Caenorhabditis elegans: one gene and its partner. The protein of the gene in region 1 purifies or fractionates together with the protein of each later gene. This does not show direct contact. Each region holds a gene or a part of one and is shown in the gene's direction. Other genes may lie near its edges.

Evidence for each region.
Region 2: the proteins of K07C5.2 (region 1) and gba-4 fractionate together in Caenorhabditis elegans (co-fractionation; one large-scale study listed by BioGRID). This does not show direct contact.

What each region holds. Positions count from the first base shown.
Region 1 is NC_003283.11:10,337,801-10,341,495, forward strand, and holds K07C5.2 (NADP-dependent oxidoreductase domain-containing protein), read left to right. Parts: upstream 1-1,699; 5' UTR 1,700-1,702; coding exon 1,703-1,906; intron 1,907-1,956; coding exon 1,957-2,087; intron 2,088-2,135; coding exon 2,136-2,254; intron 2,255-2,578; coding exon 2,579-2,928; intron 2,929-2,974; coding exon 2,975-3,076; 3' UTR 3,077-3,171; downstream 3,172-3,695. Other genes in the region: arx-2 (Actin-related protein 2), read right to left, coding at 33-296, 340-450, 503-550.
Region 2 is NC_003282.8:5,344,842-5,352,519, reverse strand, and holds the start of gba-4 (Putative glucosylceramidase 4), read left to right. Parts: upstream 1-1,622; 5' UTR 1,623-1,681; coding exon 1,682-1,748; intron 1,749-3,098; exon of another isoform or gene 3,099-3,171; intron 3,172-3,590; exon of another isoform or gene 3,591-3,611; intron 3,612-3,798; exon of another isoform or gene 3,799-3,819; intron 3,820-3,958; exon of another isoform or gene 3,959-3,979; intron 3,980-4,224; exon of another isoform or gene 4,225-4,245; intron 4,246-4,699; exon of another isoform or gene 4,700-4,720; intron 4,721-4,832; coding exon 4,833-5,015; intron 5,016-5,303; exon of another isoform or gene 5,304-5,312; coding exon 5,313-5,462; intron 5,463-5,507; coding exon 5,508-5,814; intron 5,815-5,863; coding exon 5,864-6,104; intron 6,105-6,221; exon of another isoform or gene 6,222-6,245; intron 6,246-6,636; exon of another isoform or gene 6,637-6,657; intron 6,658-6,921; exon of another isoform or gene 6,922-6,946; intron 6,947-7,041; coding exon 7,042-7,318; intron 7,319-7,365; exon of another isoform or gene 7,366-7,386; intron 7,387-7,453; coding exon 7,454-7,678. Other genes in the region: Y4C6B.7 (Activin_recp domain-containing protein), read left to right, coding at 224-275, 323-402, 616-721, 937-1,011. UniProt on the Caenorhabditis elegans protein: Glucosylceramidase that catalyzes the hydrolysis of glucosylceramides into free ceramides and glucose. C.elegans contains specific sphingoid bases, which are unique or different in structure compared to the sphingoid bases found in other animals.

The sequences.
Region 1 (3,695 bases):
ATTATGATTTTATCATGAGGATTAACTATTACCTGAACCGCCACATAGATAGAATTGAATCCATACTGCTCAAACATAACTTGAAACATTTTCTCACGATTGCTGTTCGGATTGAGTGGTGGTTCTGTCAGCAGCAGTTTACACTCTTTCGGGTCGATATCCAACTTTTCCGGTCCAAAAGTATGATCCCATACATGCGCCATATCATCCCAGTTTCTAACAATTCCGTTGTCCATGGGATAATTGATATCAAGCATTTGACGAAGCTGAGAGCACTCCTCGCCAACCATCAAATCCTGTGAGAAAACAGTTATAAGACCTTTCTGTGTAAAGTTTTACCTTAATTTCAATATTTCCAACTCTTTGTGTCGATCTCACGATTGGCCGACCGACCATTGAAGGGAATATATGAGCTGGGAAATTGGTTCCTGCATACCCGCATTTGACGAACTGCAAATACAGAATTTTTGAAAATAAAATGGGATAAAATTTTGCAACTTACACCTGTTCCGTTGTCAACGACAATCACCTTTCGCCCTTGCGAATCCATTTCGCCTGAAAATTGTTAAATCGATTGTGCGGGTTTCGAATGAGTCATAAAGAGAAGAAAAGTAAATAAATAGCAAATTTGCTTGCCAATCGATGAAACCGGTAAAAATTTCGTTTTGACACTGTCTTAGTTGGCTTAAAATAGAACAAAGTACGAACATTTAAGCAATATTTTACATTACTTAGATTTTAATTTAATGAACGAGGGTTTCTGGAAAGTAAATCTGACTATATTTAGTGGAGATCGCCGTCAAAATACGCGGAAGTCGATGGAAAAATGTTTCTACAATTTCGCGAGAATTTTTATGTTCTTCATAGAATACGAAAACAATTATAAGATTAAAATATACAGAAAAGAAATAAGGAAATTCTATTGAAATAAAAACATGACAGTTCTGTCTATAGTGGAGACGCAGGGAATTGGTTGTCGATGGAGCAGATTTGCAGCAAGAGTATCGTAGTGTAAAAACAGATTTAAAAAATCTAAATCATGAACCTTTGTTTTTTTTATTATTTTATTAGTTTTATTTATAACATTTATTTTTATTTACATGTTTACCATATTTATGATTTTTTTTACTTGTGTGATTAGTTTTTGGTAGAAATTTCTGAATATTTATGTAAAAAAACATTTTCAACATCTGTAATAAATAAGTTGCGATATGGATTGTACCGAATTATTTCCACATGAAACATGGCTTTTTATAATAAAGGCTCTTCCTCACATCCAAAATTTTAATTTCTCAGTTAATTTTAAGAAAAATGGGAAGAGACAACATAACAACTAGGATAGGTCATGTGTATATGGTAGTGTTCCTATCGTGATTGGAAATGATCACAATATAACGTCATTCTTCTGTTAATTCAATTTTTCTCTGTTTAGTAAACTTATTGAACTCTAAATACAAACTTCGCAAAGAGAGTGTTTCAATGATCGAACGCTTCGTTCAAAGTCTATGAATTACCATTGAATAGTGTAAATTACAACAAACATCACATCTTAACTTTCAAAAATTGTTCAATGAAACTTCCATTGTTTGTTGAACTGTCCCCCTCCTCCTCTACCTATCTCTTATTTATATTTAATGTCCTCTATTCTTCATTTCTTGCCATTTTTATATTCTTTTATCTCATTTAAATGTATTTTCAGACTATGAGTGTTTTCACAAATGTTGTTGGTGGTGCATTCAAGTTTTCCGATGGATACGAAATGCCAAAAATTGGTCTTGGAATCTCTCGAATTGAAACTCAACAAGATTTAGATGTCTCTATTGAAGCCGCTCTGAAATCTGGATATCGTCAATTTGACACAGCCAATCTCTACAAAAACGAAACGTTTCTTGGTAATTCCCTGAAGGTAAATTTAAACTGATTTCTGAAAAACTATTCAAACCTCTAAAATTTTAGAAATATCTACCACAATTTGGCTTGACACGTGAAGATGTGTTCATCACTACTAAAGTTCGTACTCTCAATGAAAATACTGTGGAGGAAACTGAGAAACAACTAGCCAATTCCCTTGCAACTTTGCAAACCGAGTAGGAAAATATTTGTTGAGTTATCATCAGAATTATTTCTATTTTCAGTTATGTAGATCTTCTTTTAATTCACTATCCACGTGACCGTGATACTGGAAACGATGATGACTACGAAATTAACAAAAGTAGAAGGAAAATTGTTTGGCAGACACTTGAAAAGGCAAAAGGTATGTTGGTTTCATGGTCATTTCATATAAAGTTGAGTTCCTTTTTCAACGTGGTTGGCGTTATCAATTATTTTGAAATAATAGTGGTAGATCAATCCGATCAAAAAAATCATTCTCTCATCTTACTCTAAGAATACTTTTGCAATTGCAATGTAATTAGTAGATTCCAATGTTCAGAAAATTATATTTATAAATGAAACAACCTATGAATTGATGAAGTTCCGTTTTTAGATTTTCTAAGTATAATGTTAGTATTACAACTGAGCAGTTGTGACACTTTACAAAATTCCATCTTTAAAAAAAATTAAAAATTACATTTTTCAGAGTCTGGAAGAGTTCGTTCAATTGGAGTGTCCAACTATGAAGTTTATCATCTCGTTGAAATGTTTGAGTATGCAAAAATTCGTCCAGTCCTCAATCAATACGAATACCAACCGTACTTGACTCGTCCAACTCTTAAAAAGTTCTGTGATCTGAACAATATCGTCGTTCAATCATATTCTTCTCTATGCTGGGGAGATAAAGAAATTCTTCAAGAGAAACCATTGGTCGATCTTTGTCAAAAATACAATCAGACTCCGCAAGCAATTCTCTATGCTTTTGCACACTGCAGTAATACTTCTATGATTCCAAAATCTGCAACTCCATCGAGAATTCACGATAATTTACACAATGTGAGAAACCTGTATTTTCAAACAATTTAGAATAATTTTTTTCCAGACCATAAAAATCAAATTGACCGAGGACGAGCTGAAATCTCTCAGATCTCTGGACAAGGGAAAATCATTCCCACAGATTGGTCAAACTTGGAGATGTCTATAATTTTTTTTCCATCTTAGATTTTCCATATAGGTATTTCTATTCCGATGTTCAGCATTACCTGTTAATTTTTGTATGATATAAACATTATTTAACATAGAACAATTTTTCCATAACTGCATTTTGTCAAATTATTCAGGATAGTTCAGATAGATTCAAAAACTACAGTAGTTCTAGGAATTTTTTCAAAGGAATTTTAGACATATCATCCCGCAAACTTGAAAATATATAATAATAGTACAATTCCTTTTATAAAATTTTAATTCGAAAATAGCTCAGATTTTTATTGGAGTCGTAGTACGGAGACCCGAAGAACTCGGGGGATGTCCAATTGGGGGGATTACCAACTCGGGGGATTGGCCCCGCCCACAGGACCGTGGCTTGCAATACGCCCATTTCTGCAACTGCCGCACGGTTTCGAAACTGTATTTTTCTCAATAGAGCGAGAATTAACAAGAAAAATACAGTTTCAAAACCGTGCGGCAGTTGCAGAAATGGGCGTATTGCAAGCCACGGTTCTGTCGGCGGGGCCAATCCCCCGAGTTGGTAATCCCCCCAGTTGGACATCCCCCGAGTTCTTCGGGTCTCGTAGTACGATTTTTTGATACTACTACAAGATAGA
Region 2 (7,678 bases), on another chromosome or scaffold:
AATCTCTCTGAGATCCAAGCTTATTAATAGTAAAACAAAATTAAAGTGAATTCTTAATTTCTAATCAGAAACAGTAAAACAGAAACAATGAAATTTTTCTTGATTTCCTTTAACTCAAATAATAAAAATTTTTCTGTTTCACATGTTCTTTAAAACTCATTCAATTTAATTGTTTAACATTACATGCTTAACATTACGCCCAAGAATAATAATAATTTTGCAGACGTGAATGCAGTTCGTGGAGCGATGAGCACAGTATGGAGGAGAAATGTCCGGTTGGTTCATTTTTTTCTGAGCATCAGACAATTTATATCAATTTTAGATGACCGGATGCCATTTCCAAACCAAAGATTCCACTTTTTGTTGCTGCCAGTTTGATGAGTGTAACGAGTGGAAGGGAGAGTAAGTTACTTTTTTTTGTGAAACTTTTTTGAAATAGGAAATACGAAAATTTTAGGTACGAAATACTTACAAGAATTTTTAAATAGATTCCAAAGAAAAAAAGAAAAAAATATATAAAGATTCATTACACATTTTTAGAAAAAAAGTTGAATCGAAAAATCTTAAAGCAGACTTCATCTATATATTGGCTATTTTTAAAACAATTTTTTTCAGCGGAACCGAGTTCAAAGCCGGAGAAACTAGCTCAAAATCGAAAGCTGTTCCAAGTGCTCCAAAACTCGGTGACGTCATCATGCCAACTGCAGCAACCCGTAAGAATGTTCGTGTGCATTGAAATTGCTTTATAGGATGAGATCAATTTTCTAATGAAATTTGAAAATCAAGTAAAACTTGTGAAACAGTAATTTTTTCAAGTGACTAAAACAATTGCTTGCTGATTTGAACCAAAATGCTGAACTATTATGGTTCAGTTGAAATTTTAGTTTTCAAATTATTTAAATAACACTAAAATTACAGCAAAATTTAAACTTTCAGAAAAGTGAAGACATCGTTCAAATTCCAACTACTGTCGCTCCAACCAGGAAGAGCAGTTTTGTCGAGCTTCCTTGATTTCTTAATAAAAAATTTATTATTTTTCTAATGGTTTAAAATTTTCCCTAACTGATTAGTTCATTTTGCATGAAATAAATGTTCAAAATAAAAAAAAAGCCTTTTAACAAAGTTTTCAAAAAATAATAAAATTTACAGAAGCATCAAAACGGTTCGTTCCAACTCGTACTTCTTCTATAATTGAAATCTCATTAAATTGTGCAAGTTTTTTTTTTATGAAACGACAGTAAAAAGCATACCATGAGAGTGTTATTACATTAATTTTTCCCACGTAATTAAATTTAAACACTGAAACGGTAAAATTTTTTGAACCTGCTAATAATATGTTAAAGTTCCAATTTCTTTATTGTTTTCAGATCACTATAGGTGACAACATGTAGCTCACTCACGCTCATACCACGAACTTTATCATACCATGATTTGTCCATTGCCCCCGTCATTATCTATATATGTCCTGCATAGTTAGCAGCCTGAAACCAATAATTTATGTGTTTTCCCTTCTTTTTTCCATAATTTCTTATCAGTTTCAATTATTTTTTGATCAGAATATTCCAACTGATTAGTCTTTATAAAAACGTGGTCAGTGTCTTCAAATATTGTTCTTATCATTTATTCATTAGTAGTCTTGGAAAGTGTCCGGTTTTAACGGAATACACTAGACTAGGCTATCATGATTTTGAATATATCCGTTTCTTTGCTAATATTTCTGGCGTTTTATGGATTTTCAAGCGATGCAAGTGAGTAGTAGAAGTGCCTGGAAGTGTTTAGAAAAGTTCTAAAAAAATATTACTGTTTCTCACTAGGGAGTGCTTTCACTATACGGTGCGATCGAGTAAAAGTAAACGTGTTATGCGATAGCTGGCATCTTAGGCTTTCAGAATCTGTAATTTGTTTCGGCGGAAGACCTCTGTGAGTCTGGAAATTTTCATCTGAAAATGTAGTACTGAAATCAGTTCATTTCCTATGGTTAACAGTGGATTTTGTCTCTGGCGCCAACAGAAGTCTCACCACAATGGTGGAAGGGCGAAATCATCGCTTCGGTGGTCGAGTGGTGAACGCGTTCGCCTCTTGAGCAGAAGTTTGTCGGTTCGGTTCCCACACATGGTTTAAATTTTGGGTTCTTTTATACAAAATTTTTAGAACGGGAAACAAATGTTTAAAACAGTTTTTTGAGGTTTTTACATTACTTTTTTGCTTTTTGATTGAACCACAATTACCCTGGAAACTTTTCAGAAATTTTTATTTTTTTCGAAAATTGCCACTTTTTTCTCCCATGAGAAAATTGGTTCCAAAAATTTTGTTTGAAATTTTTTCAAAAATGTATGAAATATTGTAGAGTGTCACGAATAACTTATTTTTCATTGTTTTCAATGACCGAATCACTGATTCTGATGCCGTATCAAGACGTTTTACCAAATCGATATTGGCAAAACATCTTGTTTTTGAGGCTCCATATCTCTGCAGAAAAAATCGCACTAAAAAGTGATCAACTAGAAACTTGTTAAACACAATGTGATCTAAAACTTTTCAGTTGAACACTTTTTTGTAAAAAATTTGGTTCCCAAGATATAGACCTTTAACTATTTAGAATATTCAAAAATAATGACGCTCAAATCAATTGGTTCCAACCTGGCAACCAAATTTTTTACAAAAAAGTGTTCAACTGAAAAGTTTTAGATCACATTGTGTTTAACAAGTTTCTAGTTGATCACTTTTAGTGCGATTTTTTTCTGCAGAGATATGGAGCCTCAAAAACAAGATGTTTTGCCAATATCGATTTGGTAAAACGTCTTGATACGGCATCAGAATCAGTGATTCGGTCATTGAAAACAATGAAAAATAAGTTATTCGTGACACTCTACAATATTTCATACATTTTTGAAAAAATTTCAAACAAAATTTTTGGAACCAATTTTCTCATGGGAGAAAAAAGTGGCAATTTTCGAAAAAAATAAAAATTTCTGAAAAGTTTCCAGGGTAATTGTGGTTCAATCAAAAAGCAAAAAAGTAATGTAAAAACCTCAAAAAACTGTTTTAAACATTTGTTTCCCGTTCTAAAAATTTTGTATAAAAAAGGCCAAAATTTAAACCATGTGTGGGAACCGAACCCACAAACTTCTGCTCAAGAGGCGAACGCGTTCACCACTCGACCACCGAAGCGATGATTTCGCCCTTCCACCATTGTGGTGAGACTTCTGTTGGCGCCAGAGACAAAATCCACTGTTAACCATAGGAAATGAACTGATTTCAGTACTACATTTTCAGATGAAAATTTCCAGACTCACAGAGGTCTTCCGCCGAAACAAATTACAGATTCTGAAAGCCTAAGATGCCAGCTATCGCATAACACGTTTACTTTTACTCGATCGCACCGTATAGTGAAAGCACTCCCTAGTCAGTTATGATATGACAAATTGTCATATCATGACTGAGAAACAGTAATACTGGAACTGAATTCAATGGAACTGAATTCTCAATAATCATTTAATAACTTCTATTTAAAAAAATTTAAAAATTCCCATTGAAAAATATTGCCGTTTCCGAGGTATAATATTTGAGTTAGTATTTGTATTACTTAATTCGTGCAATTCGAACAAATCTTTTTTTAAACAAAATGTGGAAATTGTGGAAAGTTGATACAGAAGTTTTACAAATTAAAAATACAAATTAAAACAAATATCGAGCATGAAAAATGCATTTGAAGCTACAACTTTTTAATATTTATTTTCACAAAAAAAACTCTGTTCCAACATGATCTGTTAAAATCCCACACTTTTATGATTCTGTTGCGAACAAGAAAATGTATTAGATATAACTGTCCTCAAATGCGTTTATAAAATTTCAATAAATGCGAACCAAATGTGACTAAAACGGACAAATCTGGACTTTTGCACTCAGAAATCGATTAAATTAAGACCCTAATTCTTAGTTCGGATTCGTCAGTTTTGCTACATCTAAATTGGATTCAACGATAACAATATTTTTTGAAGACTTCTAAAGATTATGTGAAACGGTATTTAAAAAAAAATTTGTCATTTCAAAAATCATTGTAGACATCAATCTTAACATAATTGCCAACATGAAAAGTTTCTACTGCTCCGAGGTAAAAAAAAGTAAAAAAAGAAAAAATTCATAACTTTTTGTTGTTATCCCAATAAAAAATTACTGTTTCTGTGTTATAATATGAGTTTTGGATTGGTATTGAATTGATAATAGTATCTTTTTTCAATATTTGAGCAATGATTTCATTACGCTTATACACATATGTATCAGATTTTTTCAAATTGTCAAACATTTGAATTATCAGAGTTTACAATTAACAAACCTTAATTAATAGATAACAGATAACAGTTATAATTTTTTTTAGGAAAATAACTCAGTTTCAATCTGCTAAATGCAAAATTTAATATTTTTCTAATCGTAACTATTTTTCTTCAAAATTAATTTTCGTATCCTTTAATCTAAATGGGCAGCAGACTGTAAAAAAATTATTTTAGAAACTTTTTTAGAAAAAATGCTTTAAAAAAAGCTTTTTCATAATTGCATATGCAAGACTAATAGAAGAAATACGGTAATTAATGTATTGTATTCATTGCTTGCAATGTGCAGGCAAAACATGGATAAAACAGTTTTAAAAAATTCCGTTTCAACAAATTTATTTATGAAATGTAAAATTTGAAATATGTATTTCGTATGGTAAAAATTTTCATAACCACAATTTACAGAACTGGAAATAGCTTTAGACATTTTCTAAACACGTAGTCCTGCACAATTTCCAAAACCATTCCAACTAACTAAACACAACTGAAGCCAATTTCCAGAGTCCCTTCCTTGCTCCGAAGTGAAGAAAGAGTATGGAATAGTTTGTCGTTGCAATGCCACGTATTGTGATACAATTGAACCACTTGGAACTGTTACTTCTGGGAAAGCAGTTGTCTATACAACATCAAGAAATGGAAAAAGAATGAACAGAAGTGAATTGAAGCATACAACTTCTTCTACAGGTACGTTAATTGTATAGGAAGTTCCATGAAGGCACAGAATTCTTGCCTGCATTCCTGTCTGCCTGCCTCCAGAATACACCGGAAGCTTATCAGTAACTTCTGGTTCGAAACTGATGCAAAATAGGCGGTAGGCAGGCTCTTAGATAGAGAGGCAGGCACCGCTCAACTAACACAAAAACCTTTATAATATTAGAATTTAGAGAATGATATTTTTTTATTTTGAAGTTGGCAAAAAATTATTCTACTGTTTCACAATTATTTTGTAACAATTGTTGATATGATACATCGTTTTTGTAGCCAAAACAAAAGTATATGTGAACACAACTCAAAGTTTTCAACCGGTAATGGGATTTGGAGCTGCATTCACTGATGCTGCTGGAATTAATATGAAGATGCTGCCACAGACAATGCAAGATCAAATTATTCAGCAATACTTTTCCGATGATGGTAAGTTATTTTCAAAAGATTAAGCTTGAAAAATAAATAATTTAGGTCTCGGGTATGTTTTTGGACGAGTTCCAATGGCTTCAACTGACTTTTCAACTCACGAGTACAGTTATGACGACGTTAAATTTGATTTTGATCTCAAAAATTTCAATTTAACAGTGGAAGATCTCCAGTATAAAATTCCATTTATCAAGAAGGCAATGACAGCTTCTGGAGGGAAATTAAAGCTATTTGCAACTCCATGGAGCTCCCCAGGATGGATGAAAACTTCTGGAAGAATGGTTGGTGCCGGAGAGCTATTGGGAGATCAGAATGGAAAATACTATCAGACATGGGCACAGTACTTTGTAAAGTAAGTTCTTATTTTCAAAGAAATAAAAAATAAAATTATAAAATGAAAGATTCTTCGAAGCCTATCACGCTCAAGGTATTGACTTTTGGTCTTTGACACCACAAAACGAGCCAACAACTGGAATTGATCCACTTTGGAAATGGCAAACACTCTTTTTCGATGCATCAATGGAACGAAATTTTATAAAGAAACTTTTGGGACCAGCACTTGCTTCATCACCAGTGACTAAGAATTTGAAGATTATGATTAATGATGATCAGAGAATTAATTTGCCACACTGGCCAAATGTAGTAAGTTATTGGTGGGATAAAACATTGAGTAATAGGTAGAAATGATTGAATGACTAAAAATTAATTAGATACTGTTTCACATTCAAAATAAATATATTAAAATTATAAACAAAACAGTAATCCAATACGAGAAACAAAACCTCTTTTATTTATTGAAAATTTTCAAAACTTTTATAGCTCTTTCCTTTGTTTATTTTTTTGTTTTCTATTAGGTACTTACCGTTTTTTAACACTATTAAGACTCCATTGTAATTAAGTATTTTCGAATTTTTTTCGAATCAAGACACTAGAACGGTTATTTTAATTTTAAAACTCGCTTTCACCTACAATTATTACTGAATTGACCGAATAGTTCAACAGTTGTGTAAATTGTTTTAGAAAAAATTAAAATCGAACGACAAAATGTGCAAAACTGATAAGAAACGTAATGCTAAAATGGATTTGTTGAAACATTGAAACATATCAGATATTCAAAAATTGTACTGTTTCACATTCAAAATAAATATATATATAGAAATTATAAACAAAACAGTCGAAACAAAAGTACTGTTTTTGGGAATCAAAATTGAGGTATTTTTGAGCTTTCCGTAGTCTTTGGTAAATTATGAAACAAAGTGTAATGAAGTATTTATTGACTAATTGTTAGAATTTGAAGATTATGATGAATGATAATCAGGAAATTATTTTGCCAAATTGGCCAAATGTGGTGAGTTGTCGTTTTGTTGAAACAGTTATGCAACAGTAGGGAAAAACATAAAATAATCAAACTTTGTGCTGTTTTACATTCAAAATAAATATAAGAAAATTATTATTGCCATCAATCTTTCTTTGGCCTTGGGAAGAGTTATCCGCAGAATTTACCTATTTGAATTTTTAACCCTTGATTAAAAATCATATCCCATTCCGACGTCCCCACTCTTTTAAAATAAAATTTTAGATTTTAACGGATCCAACTGCTGCTCAATACGTCCACGGAATTGCAATTCATTGGTATGAAGACTTCATTGACCCAGCAACCGTACTCACTGAAACTCACGAGAAGTTCCCAGACTATTTCCTTTTGGCAACTGAAGCATGTGCTGGATACTTCCCAGCAGATGGACCAAAATTGGGATCATGGTCTAGAGCTGAACAATATGCAAATGATTTGATTAAAGATATGGGAAATTGGGTTGGAGGATGGGTTGATTGGAATTATATTCTTGATTTACAAGGTTGGTTTGTGAAGTGTAGCAACACTTGCGATTTTTTAATTTAAAAACATCAAAAACCATAGTAAGAAACAGATTTAGAATTTTAAATCTTTGATATAACTAGGTTGAAACAGTTTTCTAATATTTATTTTCCAGGAGGACCAAATCTTGCCAAAAACTTTGTCGATTCAACAATAATCGTGAATGCAACTGCTCAAGAGTACTACAAACAACCAATTTGGCATGTAATGGCTCAATTCAGTAAATTTGTGAAACCGGGAGCTATTCGTGTTGGAATAAACATTATTGAGAAATCAGTTGATGTTGAGGGTCTTTCATTTTTGAATCAAGATGGTACCAAAACTGTGGTTTTATTGAATA